Linked DNA regions of Medicago truncatula. The protein of the gene in region 2 interacts with the protein of the main gene of each other region in a pairwise test. Links are inferred from orthologs where the notes say so. Each region holds a gene or a part of one and is shown on either strand. Other genes may lie near its edges.

Region 1 (7,675 bases), about 7.1 Mb from region 2:
TACAAGTATGTTAATGGGAAAGCAGTAAGCAGGCCCCTAGTGCACCTTACCCCACTTGAGAATTGAAACATATTGTTGCAACCTAATAAAAGAATATCTAAATGTTGTTCGTTTTGTTTTATGGTGGTATGTAATGTTTTCTAAAGGGTACAAGTTTTGATATTACTTAATTATTTGTAGCATTCAGGTAATTGACATTTTAAAGGTTGGACTTCTGATATTATTTCAGAAAATTTCACATAGCTATCAATAAATATCAGTACAAGCCACAAAATGAAATGCAAAATAAGTTATAGGGTCAATAAATTCTTGCCTCCATGAATTGCACTATAAAATCTATGAGTTTTTGCTTCTGCATCTCCTCACAATGGTAATTTGTAATAAGGAAGCTAATATCATATCCCTGTCAAGAGAAATAACAAAAAATATGACTTTCTGATTTGCTATGTCTTGCATTAACGGTTGTCCAGCAAGAATCCTAACATTGTTAGCAAGGCAAATAATCCACCACAGTGAATTTAGAAAGACAAATACGAACCACTACTACTAAGTGAACCTGTTAAGAAATCAAAAGTGAATTATTTTATAAAAAAAACGTAGCATTTAATGTCAATGTCATAATTCAACGAATGTTACTATAAGAAAACTGAGGCTATGTAGAATGAACTCCCACACACAGCACAACCAACTACAAAGAAAATCGATCCATAAAAAACTTTATATTCATTGATTCCTGAACCGTTACTCTAAAGACACTCATATGTATATAAAATGGTGCTAAAGTAGAAGGGGAAAATAAATTAAATACGAGGATTAGTGGTAAGTCGACACTTCCTCACCTGTCAAGTGTATTGTGTGTGAAGAGGGTTTTCTCTAACTTTTTCAATCGAAGGTTAACTAGGAATTAGAAGATGAACAAGACGAGACTTGATAGTAATAGAGTATGTTGTATGCGTAAGCCTATGCTTGGCAATCACAAGGAGTTATTCATTCCATGTACAATCACGAAAACATGCAATATCTGAGGCAAACTCAACAAATATTTTTACTTTCTAGATTCAATGAAACTTCATACAAAGTTATCCCTCTGCCCTGCACCTTTATTTTAGCTATCACCAATATCTAAACATTACTTTATTTGATCGAAAAATCATCGCCAGACTTTAAAAGGAAACAAGAGCTATAAACCTGCACAGGCTTTCTCCTCAGTACTTGGAAAGCCTCAGCTCTCATGGACAAAAATCTAAGAAATTTTTTCGTCAATATGTTTTCAAGTTCATCAGCCTGCTTCACCTGCACAAGATGAATTAAAAATAAAATAAAATAAGAATAAGGAATTACGGACAACTAACAATGAATAGTGGCACTTCATGAGTAAATCTGAAGGTTGCTAACATATTCTAATTTTGATATAGTTTGCTTATCTGCTAATAGAATTAAATTGTGAATTATCACCACAAGTTAATTGAAGCACAAGATTTGTAGCCAATTTATTGCTACTTTGGCGCCTTAAAGATGCTCTTGTATCGGGAGAGAATGCAACAAACATCAAGAAAGGATGAATGTATCCAAAATATTATATAATTGACTAAATCACTAAAACTTATATTAAAAACTCTTCTACCATAATTCAACCCCGGTATGATCAATGAACCATTAGCGCTGTTATCATCTAAATTCACAAATCTGAATTTATTTAACTAAAGGATATAACTTGATAGATTTCAACACACCATCTAAGAAGACCTCTGAAAACTGATTGTACTAGACACATATATCTCTGCCAACAGACTCAGTTCCTATCAAATATATCATAGTAATAATGATGGTGCTATTAAAAAAAACAATTCTAGTGAAGAAAAAAGGGGCTGAATGTAACCGTTACATAGAATATAGACGCACTTTTCTGGCAAAACATTACAAAACCCATTTCAACAGTTGCATCCCATGTATATAGGTCTTACCCAATTACATTTCTAAGATCAGTAGTCCTAACTCCTAATACTAAAAAGAAAGGTACCATGTTGAAACCCCTTAAGGGTATCTTTGGACTAGTGCCACATGCCACATGCCACTTGCAGAGACCAATTTAGTGAGACTATAATGAATAAATACATGATATGAACAAGGGCAGAGACGAATTTCAGATGAGAAATAATTTCATATGACAAAAAACAAGAAAAAAGGTTTACCTTAAGACTTATCCTTAATGAATTGATAGAGGTTTCTATTAAGCATTTTTCAGCCTCGTTACGGCATATCAAAACCTATAACAACAACAGCACAAAATTTTCAATGAAGCATTGATGCAACAATAATAATTTCCTTAAAGCATACATCATTTAGAAAGGATTACATGTAAATGAACGTGATATAGTGATATGATATAAGATGGGGTCTTACAGGATTTAGAAGGAGTTCAGGACTGGTCCTGCAAAAAAAAAAAAAAAAAAAGGGAACGTCAATTCAATTAAGTTAGTTAGGTGAAAATCTTAAACATAGCATAAGCACTGATCGATGTAACTATAATGATGTTAATCGGTGTAAGTGAGAAAATGCTTACTTGAGTTCAACCTCGGGTTTGTTATGTCTTTCAACTTCTTGACAAGGAAAATTCTGCAATTACGAAAATAGGATTGATGATCGATCGGAAACAAAATGAATGAATATAGAAAATGGTGTGAAGAAGCAGAGCTGGTGAACCTGGAGGCACATAGCAGCATCGAGTGTGTTGCGAATGCAGGTTAAGTATAAGCGTAATGTTGTGCTACCCTGAAATCAAAAACACATGAATTGAGAAGATGAAAAATTGCGATGATGAAGAACAAGATTCAGTGTGTATCGTACCATTGCTTTGGGTCTGAATCTGACGAATTAGAAGTTGAAGTACGGTTTAAGCGAGTGAATGAATCAAATCAAATCAAATCAAATATAGAAAGGAAAAAGGGATCCGAATCAATCAACGAATCTCACCTGCTACTACACTTTTCTTTGTCTTACCCGCTTTATGTTATATATTATTTATTCATCACAATCACAAAAATCATTTTTTACATTTTTTTTAAACAAATAAAAGTCGCTGGTCAAAAATTCATATTAAGATAAAAAAGTAGATTTAAATATCATTTTAGACTAATTCATGTAAGTTTTCTTATTTCTTGATTTTCAATTTTTTTTTTGTCAACTATTTAGTGGTTGAAATTCACCTTTTTCAAACTGAATAAATGGAATGTCCGAAATTTAAACCTCAACCCCTACATATAATAAACAATGCATAACCCTACCAACTGAACTATACTCACGGTGCCTCTTGATTTTCAACTCTAATGTCATCTTATTTCGCAATATGGCATTATTATAGTGTGTCATGCATAACATCAGAGCCTGAAAACAACAGTTTTTATGTGTTACATGGATTAATCCAAATAAAAAAAAACTTATAATACTAAAAAAGACGTTAAATTACATAGATATTTTCAATCAAAAACAAATTTATTTTCCAAAAACTAATGCATTATATACAAAGGATTTATGCATATGTAACAAAATTAATATGCCAATCAACAACTATTAATTTGTCAGCAACCAGAAGGTGCAACACGGTAAACTATTAAGAATAATTTCATCAAAGAGATAAAGAAATATATTTCAAGCAGACGAGTTTGGTATAATTATGAATAGATTAATGATATTTAAACATCCATTTGAAATAACTTTTGTAACAACATTTTTTTTTTCACTGCCAAAAACAATAGAGAAAAAAAAAAAAACATAGTATATGAATATAAAAGAATTGTCAATAAATGGTTGTATAAATATCATTTCTCTTTTTATATTATTCAAATTAACTATTTTTTACTTATGTATTTAAAATAAAATATACAAACAAAATCAGTAAAATTTACCCCGGGTCTCTAACTAGTATCATAACTTGTTAAAATAAAAAACCTAGTATCATATCGTAAAATTCATTCAAAGTACAAAGTATGACTTGGAGCAGAACTATCTATTGAAAAGAAGGCATAAGAGATTTTTGGCCGACTTTTTTTATCTTTTCAATTATACCATTGATTTAAGAGTTTTTCTATTCACATTCTATATATTTTTGATTACACCTAATTTTTTAAAAAAGTTTTTGATAATACCAAAATTGTCCTTTTATATAAATTTTCTTAAAATTTTGATTTCATTCATTGTCACTCTAAAATTTCACTTTCTTTCACCCACCAACGATCAAACAATCCTGATGTTCAATTAATCTCTTTGGAAGATTAAAGAGTGAATCAAAACATCTTTCATTCATACTAGCTTGTATATAAATAAGTGAATTTTTTTTTCTTTTTCAATAACGCTGGTTTCAATTTTATTCTTCTTGTTCAACTGCACTGTACGACAGTTTCAGTTTTACATTGTTGATGTTAACTTAAATTCAGTTTAAGTAGGTTCATGTGAACTTAGTTTAGATAATCTACTTAAACTCAATTTACATAACCTACATAAACTGAGTTTACATGATCTACTTAAAACTGAGTTTAAGTATGTACACTTAAACTTAGTTTACATGACCTAGTTAAAATAAGTTTACATGTACATACTTAAACTGAGATCACGTAGAATCATTGAACAAGGTTGAACTTTTAAATACACTTAAACTCGGTTTGCATGACTTACTTAAACTGAGTTTAAGTATGTACACTTAAACTCAGTTTACATGACCTACTGAAACTAAGTTTGCATGACCTACTTAAACTGAGTTTAAGTATGTACACTGAAACTAAGTTTATATGACCTACTGAAACTAAGTTTACATGACCTACTTAAATTGAAGAGGGATTTTAGGGTGTAACCCAGATAAAAAGATGCTTTTTGAAAATTAATTTTATGGAAGGATAATTTTGTCATTTTGGAGTGCAACCAGGATTAAACATGGTGTAATTAGAAAAACTCTTAGATTTAAACTATAGCAAGTACAATTTTACTTTTTTATATATTATTTAAATCTTTAATTAAAATATTAGTTAAATATCATTGTAATAGAAGCCACTTCATTCACACGGAAGAGGCATTCACAAGAGCCTTTCCTCTCCAATTTATGTTTTTTTTTCTTCTCACTATTACAAAGTAGTGTGCTACGTAATAGCTATACTCCAATATAACTTATTTGATAATTTCACATTACAATTTGATCCAATGTCTAAACAAACTATTATTCTTTGAAGAGTGGGGAGATGTGAATATACGCATGTTTCACCAAGCACAAATTGATAGAAGGCACATGAAGGAAAAAAAAACTAAAAAGTACGAGAAAAATAAAAAGTTGCTACAGCCTCAAATTTAGAGTCATTTACAAACATTGGATTTCAAACACTAAATTAGAGATACAAAAGCAAAATGCAAAAAATGCGGGGAACAAAAACCCTTAGACTGACTGTACACGAAACTTATTGGCAACATAGAGCAAATGGCTAATGTTTGTCGAGGGGTAATTTTGTAGCAGCTTGAGATTTGAAGTGAAATCACCCGCTAGGAGGCGCTTGCGAATGAGAATTAGCATTGCACAACACACCCGGAGAAGAGTCTCCTGCAGAACATTGTGTCAGTTTCCCAACTTAAGTTATTTTAACAAAAAAGATACATACATTACCCAAAATCATTAACTTGCTGATCTACCATCACCAGTTCTATATACAGTTTAAGAAGCGACAGGAATTTCAAGTAGCAAACAATAGTCACTAAAAACTGGAGACTTACGAAACACGCTCACATGCACAAAAGAAAATGAGGAAAAAAAAACGTGTTCTAATGTCCCGATAATATGGCCATATCTTCCATCTTTTCTTCACAATCGGGATCCTCTAAAGTGGATTAAGAGTAGCAATGCAAAGTGAAACACTAATGAAAAATCAACACCAGTATGAGAAAATTGACACTAAAAGTAACTTCGCAACTTCAAATCCAATCTGACTTATCATTTCCATCAAAGAAACATGAGCCATTACTGAAATGCTACATGCCAATCAATTATTTAAAAAGTAAATTGGAATAAAATTGTACCTGTGGACCCTCTGGGTCACCTAAAAGAGTGTCCCAAATATGAAGACTGTCAGCAAAATTGAATTCCTGAGTCAATAGGAGAGTGATCCACCTAAATGCATAGAATTGGGGATTGATCTGACATTCAAAAGAAGAAAAGTGAGCCATTACTGAAACACTGTTTAATAGCCAATAGTAAATATATGGTTGAATAATTTGGCAAGCATGCAAACAAAATTGTAAACAGACTAATTACCCCTCCCTGTTGCTTAATTGATGGATAAACATAAAAAGGTATTAACAGACAAAAACTAATGGTCAAAATAACAATTCTAACACAGGAAGTAATATCATCAAAGCAATGAAGCAGGAAAGAGCCCGCATTTTTGTATATATTCCATGTTAGTTTATTTAACAAATTTAATAGAACGGAGCAGTGCACAAACACCACAATCAATTGCATAACAGTATATACCACAATGTGCGAACGAAAAAATAATTAGCTATATCAAAAACTATATATAATAATTTAAAATAAATGCACAGCCTACTCAATATATTTCCAAATGTAAACTAAAAGCAAAACTGTAACAATATATTAAAAACTCTTACTTTGGAAGTGATCTCAAGATGACGCCACAACTCTTCATCATGTTTTCTTAAAAGCTGTGACAATTTTGTAATAGTTGAACGGATTCCCACAACACTATTGTCTAGTTGTTGAACAAAGTTATCTCGCAACCCACTCAATAGCTCAACAAAACAAAAGAATGCATCAGCTTCGGCGAAGGCCTGCATATTGTAATAAGGAGCTGTTAAGCACAATAAACCAATAATAAAAGACAACATAAATGCACCATAAACATACATGACTCCTTATTACTAACAATAATTTTTTCTTCACATTCCCTTCCCGTGATCATACATCATAGCAAAATTTCTTGTCTAAATTCCCGTGAGCAATGATACCTTTATACTGATCACACCTAAATTTTGATCTGTCATCTCTACCCCCCATTATGGCTTCCCCTTCAATTTATGCATACACTTGGAAATATCAACCAGTGGAATGAGGAAACAGAAAACATGAAATTCTATGTGTGGAAAAGGTAAAGAATTACAGGTATGCATATGGTGCTTCTGATTATCACGGGTAAGCACTTTTTAAACAGAAATTTCAAAATCAATGTTACACAAATTATTGTTAAAGGTTCCTAGGAAAATATGTAATTTAAATTAATAAGATTTTACGCAACAAAAATATAATTAATTAAATGTAAAGGAGACTACAGGTGGACTTAGCAAAGCATGGATTACAAAAAGAGGTTAACAAGACATTACAAAAAGAGGTTAACAAAACATCAGGGTCGTATGTAATATTCTTCTCAATGATGGATTATAAACTGAGAACTAAGAGATTACAAGTCAAAAGGATTATAAAAACAAAAATATAATTAATTAAATGTAAAGGAGACTGCAGGTGGACTTAGCAAAGCATGGATTACAAAAAGAGGTTAACAAGACATTACAAAAAGAGGTTAACAAAACATCAGGGTCATATGTAATATTCTTCTCAATGATGGATTATAAACTTGAGAACTAAGAGATTACAAGTCAAAAATATATAATATACTCACTGCAT
Region 2 (7,196 bases):
TCTCTCTCCGGTATCTCTTTCTTTCTTAGATTCTGTTTTTTCTATAGAACCTCCTCTCTGTTATTAAAGTTCCCTTATATTTTGTATAAATAAAAGTTGACAAGGAACAATATTAAAGCTAAAAGGAAGTCACCCATGCATCTAGGATTGTTATGGATTACTGAACTACTTCTTTGAGTACAAAAAACAATATGAATAAAATACCCCAAGCAAGGATGAAGGTTTCAGTAACAGAAAGTTGCATATTCAACTATCATACCTGAGGAAAAACAAAAAAAGACTCCTTTGGTCGATGAACAAGAGCAACAAGTGGATCCATATCCGGAGCAACATTTCTAGAAGCAAGGTGTTTTAAAATTACCCTTAGTGGTGCACCAAGGACGACCTCCCTTACTGATGCTACTTTTACCAAAAGTGCTTGTCTTTGCTCTGCACAAGATCAACATCGCCAATTGTCAAAGAACAGCATCAACAACAAAATAATTTAACTTATAAATTTCTCTTTCTTAAATAAAACCAAAGATGGAGTGACGAACCAGAATGAAAAAACACAGTTTCCAGAAGAAAAGAAAAATTTGGGCATTTAGATTTATTAGCAAAACATGTCGAGTCTTCTTGAAAAAAAGTATGATAAGTATTAAAAGTTTTGAAATTTGCCAAAAATATTTGGTTCAAGAGATCATCACACAAAGCACAGAGTTCATAAACAAGTTTATCCCACAAACTATGATTTTCAACAAAAGTCTCATTAAGATTTTTCTCTCCGAGTAATCATAGAAACCTTGGCCAAGAAACCAGAGTTACAGGGAAGAAGAGCAAGCTAAATAGTTATTTCCATTTGGCTTTTCTACAGTAGTTAGGGTTCCACAAATAGAGAAAGAAAAACCGTATGTAGGTTTCTGACTTCTCAAAGAATTTTGGGAAGTAGGTTCAAAATCCATCTTAATAAACCAGGGCATTCACTGAGAGAACAAATGCCTTAAAAGGAATGGGAGATGGAGACAGATGACTGCTGGAACGAAAGCAGGACAATCCATCATGTAGAATGATACTGGTTTCACGGTGAATGGGTTCAAGGCAAGCGACGCAAGAACACCAAATGCCAACAGAGGAATTGGTGCATTGTAGGGCATGAGAAATTTGCTGACTTTCAATTTCTCAACTGACCAATGACTCCTTTAATGGTGGTTGGTTCAAATAGAAGTTCTACTGGACCAGATGCAGAACCATGGGACTAAGAGGCAAACCAAGTGGAAAATGGTCTACTTACTGAGAAACGTTAAGAAAACTCTGGAGAGATAAAAAGTTAAATTGATTGAGAATAAAAATGCTATCTTTTATTTCATGTAAACGAAACTACAGAAACTTGAACATAGTTATTAATCTCTACTGCAATTTCAATTAAGAACCATTATCCATCTCTGGGTTACACATCAAATAATATTACTATGAACTAAAACAGAAAAAAGCTCAGATATTGACAATCCAAAGCACATGTAAATCATATATGCAAAATTGAGAATATCAACTTAGTGCTTCAATTATCAATTTATATTGAAATACTATCTAATATCTATAGCAAATGTAAATCCCTGAAACCAAAACAGTGGAAAGAATATACTGTAGCAATGAAAATGCATTACTAATCGGTAGTTTTAATGCATTAGAAAATACAGAAGCTATAAGTTCAGCTAAAGACGAAAAAACTTTTCATAGCAAGGGAAATTCAAAGTTACGGTAACATCCTATACTAAAAACCCTGATATACCTTGATTTGCAGGAACCTTTGAGAGATTTATCTTCAATGTGAGGTTAAAGCCATCCCTTGGAGGATCAAGAATTTGCACAAGACTGCCATATGCAGCTTTGATTGCTTCAATGGCTCCAAAAGGAAGTCCACATACAAAAATAGTTTCCGAAGATGGAGTAGGCAACGATACAGATAGCAAGAAAATATTAGGATTCTTCATTGACACCTACAATTATTTTTTAGCTTGATCAAATATGCAACCCAAAAGTGTCAAACTCAAATTATCTACATTACTCAGTGTTTGTCAATCGTGGATCGCATAAAATAGGGGTTTATTCAAATTCCTCTATAGCGCCTCTATTTGACAACATTTTGGGCATGTTTCAATTGTGAGACTGTTTGGTAGAGTTTATGGAAACAATTTTTGACAAGTCCATAAGCTGTTTTCATTTCAAAAAGGGAGCTTAATGGGATTTGAACAAATCGCTATTTAATGAGATAGACTATTTATGATATGTTTGAATCGACTTGTTTGAGTTTATCTACTAGTATATGCATTTAGGAGAACTAAGGGAAACAAACTCGTGACATGTTCATAAGCTGTTGTCTCCAAGATAGCTTATGAAAACAACTTACAGTTTATACTAAAACAATATAACTAACTTAATTTTATCTTCTATTATAGAAAGAGCTTATAAGTGTTTGTTATATAAGCTTCAAAATAAATTGTTTATGGAAACAAGTTCATATCATAAACATAAATAAGCGCTTATCATGATAAGTGTAGCAGGTGTTCAACAACATTGACTATACGGCGTTTATGATAATAGTAATAATAATCGTGTTAACAAACATTGTTAGTACCTGAATGTGATATCTGACATCGTCAAATTCAACCCAGTGGTGATCGAGTTCAACACCTTTTTCGATACTGAAACAGAAACAGAAACAGAAACAGAAGATATTAACGCAGTTGAAATGAAGGAGTAGCGAAATGAAAACGCATGCGTTTTAGTAACTAACTTTTGAAGGCGATTCAAAAGAGTCTGAAGCAGAAATCTAGAATGGGACTGGAGGAGTATCATCGATGATCCTGACCCTTTCCGCTTTCTTCTCTTCTCTTCTCTTCTCGTGTTTCGTTTCAACAGTTTTTGATGATGATGATGATTATGATTATGTGTATTATTACACTCACTCAGATCCAGACCGATTCTTTTCTTCCACTTACAGATTTTCATTCATTCATTTTTCTCAATCATAATAATCACATCACCATATTTTGTTTCTTTTCATTCTATTTTTTATTATTATATTTATTATTAATAAGATTAATTATTGAAATTCACCACGTACTATATGTGAAGTCCAAAAATGCTACTCAGAGGTTGAATTTTTTCATAATTTTTGTAGGCATGTTTACAACAAAGAAATATGCATTACACAAAAATTTAGAATTTTTCAACTAATGACAAATTAATTATGAATTTATAAAGCGTCAAAAACTCAAAGAACAAAATGATGAAAACTCCGACCTAAAAATTGAATTTTAAATTGATTGTTTGCAGAGACATCTAAAGAAATACATAAAAAGAATTTGCAAAATTTTGTAGCATTTCAAAGATGTTTAATTTTTTTATTTTTCAACCAAAACGTGCGAAATTGCAATTTTGTTATGAGTAAATGTATACTCACGGGTCAAATTTCTTTCTCTAATTTTCTAAGCATGTATATAACATCATAAGAACTTTCCTCGTGAATTTTTAGAGTTTTTAAACGAGATACGAATTAATTATAAAAAATTCATAAGGAAATAAAAATTCATAATAAATCTGTCCCTCGTCAAAAATTACGATCTAGTTCAACTCTTTACACATGATTCTTATAATAGAAATGAAATCACTCAAGTGGTATTTTTGTATAACCTTTCCAGGTTTGAAGCAGCACCATTAGTAAATAATATCAAACAAGATAATAAGATAAATGTTTATAAAAAAAATCACAAACATACATGCTAGTGGAATGTTTATGGACTTGCTGCAAGTTTGACATGTTACAAAACATACCCAACTTTTGTTCAAACTTTACCTTCAAAATTATTAGCACAACAGTTCCAGCCACATCCTTGAACATTCATAATTGAGGAGTAGAAAACCGATAAACGGTAGAGCCACATTTTTCAAGTATTTGGTGTAATTCAACTCTTGCATCAATCTTATAATAGAAAAGTCATCACTCAATTAGTATTTTTGAATAACCTTGCAAGTCATTTGCAGGTTTGAAGTTGCGTCGTAAATGTAAATAATATCAAATAAAACAATATGATAAATATTTAAAAAAGGTTTTATAACATAAATGAACAACTCACATCGTTGAAATTCTTCTTGTTATTGTTTTCAATTGTCTGGCATGCTATTCCGGTTGAAGAGCATGTGGCTTCAATGTTAGTTATGTTTTTGTGTGAAATAATTGATACTCGCGCGTGCGTAAAATGAGAAGTCTTCTCAGTCGTCGATAACAAGCAATTTGGATAGTATAAGATTGCGATCCACGTCCAAATGTAAACAGTAATGACAACAGTCGATAAAAAATTTAACGGTCATAGATTTTGATCCGAGTAAAATCCTTTAAAAGTGAAGAAAAACTTAGTGTGCTATTATTTACCTGTTTTTGTTTGTTTTTGCAGTGCTTTTGTATTTTTATTTTCGTAATTTATTTTTTATATAACTAGATAGATTTATTTTGTCGTGAACAAAGACTTATCTTTTATTTTTTATATAACTAGATAGATTTAATATAATTTTTATGATTTAAAATTTTATTATTTTTAACACTTAATCTACTCTATAAATCTATATATAAAAACAAATGTCTTGCTAAAAGTTTAAACTGCCCATAACCCACTAAAATTTTACAGTTGTTTTTTACAAGTGCTTAAGGGTAAAATATGTAATCTACTACATATATATATATATATATATATATATATATATAAATTTGTGTTATTTTTGTTAGAAACAAATTGAAATCAAATTTGTGTTATTTTTGTTAGTAACAAATTGAAATCATTGATAGTTATTAGTTATTGGATAACAAGTGGTTAATTATTGTGGTTAATTATTGGTTTTTTCATATTATTGAGGTAACTATAGTAGTTTATTATTAAGTTATAAGTCATTTGAATTAACTTATCACAAACCGCTATAAACTTGAATAGAAATAACAATTATCAAAAGATATTTTTTAATTATAAACTACTATAAGACATCCATTCAAATTTATGACTAAGCAACGAGTCAAAATGGGCTACCCGGCCGTTTCGGGCCGAACGGACTGCAGGATTTTTAGGGTCGGGTTAAAAATCCTGGTTTAAATACAGGTTGTAATAATAGAGCCCGAGCCCGGCCCTATACGGGTTCTCGGGTCAGCCCGCACGCACATTTTTTAAAAAAAAAATCTTTTAATGATCCTAATTACTAACCGAACTTGCACAAGTTAAAAAAACATGATCAGATTGCATAGCTATATGCACATAATTACACAGTTTATAATCACACATAGCATATTAACATAGCTATATAATTAATGAAACTCAATCACTCAAAAAAAACTTAGATATCAGATGAAGATATTCATCGTATTATGATCAGCAGTTGTTTTCACAACTCATAATTGGCGATGTTGAGTTGAAATAATAAAGCATATAACAGAAGAAAAATAAAACTTGTATTTTTTTTTTAGAGGATAAATCTTATATTTTGACGACTTAACACTAAATATTTAATGTCTATAAAAATAGAAAACAATAAATATCAATACCATGAATAAATTTAAGAAAGAAAAAGCAAGCCTTTTTTCCACTGCGAATGATAAATATGATTTCTAACTTCTTGATCTTTGAATGATATTTTCAAAACAACAGGATTTGAAGCTCTAACGTCCACTATGGCAACTTCTGTAGTCTCCCATATAGTTTAACTTTTTCTTTTTCCCAGGCTGCCCGTAGCCTAAATGGGCAACCAGCTTTTTCGGACCGGGCTAAAAAATCCTGAATTTATTCGGGCTGCAATTTTTAGGTCCAAGTCCTACGTTTTATTCGGGCTTTTGGGCCGGCCCATTCGACCCGACCCATTTTGATAGCTCTAAAGAGCACGACGTTTTTTTCGTCACCAGCGCACGAAGATCAAATACTAGGCTAAAGATACTTCATAGTAATGATATAAGCTCTCTTATTTACTTTCTTTTGGTACAAACTTCCTCTCAATTTTAATTTGATATAAGAAGACCAATTTTACTTGCAGATGACAAATCTTTGATTTACATATATGGATAATTGGCTTCTTGATGTCAAACTTAATATACAACACTTTTGAATTTTTTTTACGCATAATTATCAGAAGATTCATCGTTGTATTGAAAGTTATTAATTATTATCATATAGATCATGTTTACAAAACTTGACATTAGTAAAGTATCATTTAATATGCTAACAAGTTGCATCAAAATTAACATCTAAAGAACTTTTATCAAACGCCACATGAACACACATAGTCATGTACACATCTTCACATAGATTCTCATAATCAATTCACGTCTCACATAGGTTCATATGTATGCAATGTTCTAGTTTGACTCTACATGCATGTGGTACCAAGTTTTGGAGGTCGGAGTTATGTCACCGAGCGATCCACCATCATTAAATAATTGGAGGTATATTACAAATTAATCCACCCGTCATCAAATATCCATCATTAAATAGGAATGACAATGATGATAATGTAAACTCGACAATGCATGATCCATACACAAACAAATCATTTCATCATCAACATTTACTCCCATAAATAATTTAACATCATCTTAATATTCACATCACCAACATCAATAAAACACCATCACTTCGTTTAGGCAATTTGCATCTTAGATAATTCGTCAGTTAGGCTTTGATAAATTTAATTATTGAAAAGAAATGACTACTTTGCCCTTGACCGATAAAAGTGCCGCCGTAGTGGTGGAGGAACAACAATTTTGTACCTGATGGAAACGAGACGAATGCGAAGATTCGTGAGCCATCAAAAACCCAACAGCAGAACTCTTCTCCCTCTTCACGCTCCTTCTTCTTCCTCCTCTCATCTCTCCAACACTATTTCCTTCTTCTATTGCGATTACAAATTCATCTCTTTCAATAAACCTCTCTACACATTCGGTCGCAAACATGCCAACTTTTTTAAACTCTGGTTTTCTATTGGCCTTGGTTTCGCACTTTCTGCTATGCTCGCTGTTACGCTGGTAACAATTTTTATCAGTTTGTAATTGGTAATTTATTTTGTTTTTATTCAATTTGATTTGATTTGTTGTTTTTTGTTTTAGATTTTGGTTTGGGAGGTTGCAACGGCTTTGAATATATGTGGAGAAAGTAATAAAGTTCGAAGTATTGCTAGTGAAATGC

Evidence for each region. The genes of interacting proteins can lie anywhere in the genome.
Region 1: the proteins of actin-related protein 2/3 complex subunit 2A (region 2) and actin-related protein 2/3 complex subunit 4 interact in binary tests that used the Arabidopsis thaliana proteins (3 or more experiments, as listed by UniProt). The link is inferred for Medicago truncatula from reciprocal best matches to the Arabidopsis thaliana genes DIS2 and ARPC4.

Annotation. Positions count from the first base shown.
Region 1 is NC_053049.1:39,402,721-39,410,395, forward strand, and holds the start of actin-related protein 2/3 complex subunit 4, read right to left. Parts: upstream 3,015-7,675; 5' UTR 2,851-3,014; coding exon 2,848-2,850; intron 2,773-2,847; coding exon 2,704-2,772; intron 2,617-2,703; coding exon 2,564-2,616; intron 2,432-2,563; coding exon 2,404-2,431; intron 2,268-2,403; coding exon 2,193-2,267; intron 1,294-2,192; coding exon 1,189-1,293; intron 404-1,188; coding exon 314-403; intron 1-313. Other genes in the region: TBC1 domain family member 13, read right to left, coding at 5,420-5,581, 6,055-6,171, 6,646-6,825, 7,671-7,675.
Region 2 is NC_053049.1:32,347,566-32,354,761, forward strand, and holds the start of actin-related protein 2/3 complex subunit 2A, read right to left. Parts: upstream 3,010-7,196; 5' UTR 2,989-3,009; coding exon 2,774-2,988; intron 2,682-2,773; coding exon 2,615-2,681; intron 1,977-2,614; coding exon 1,769-1,976; intron 430-1,768; coding exon 260-429; intron 1-259. Other genes in the region: membrane-bound transcription factor site-2 protease homolog, read left to right, coding at 6,785-7,036, 7,118-7,196. UniProt on the Arabidopsis thaliana protein: Functions as actin-binding component of the Arp2/3 complex which is involved in regulation of actin polymerization and together with an activating nucleation-promoting factor (NPF) mediates the formation of branched actin networks.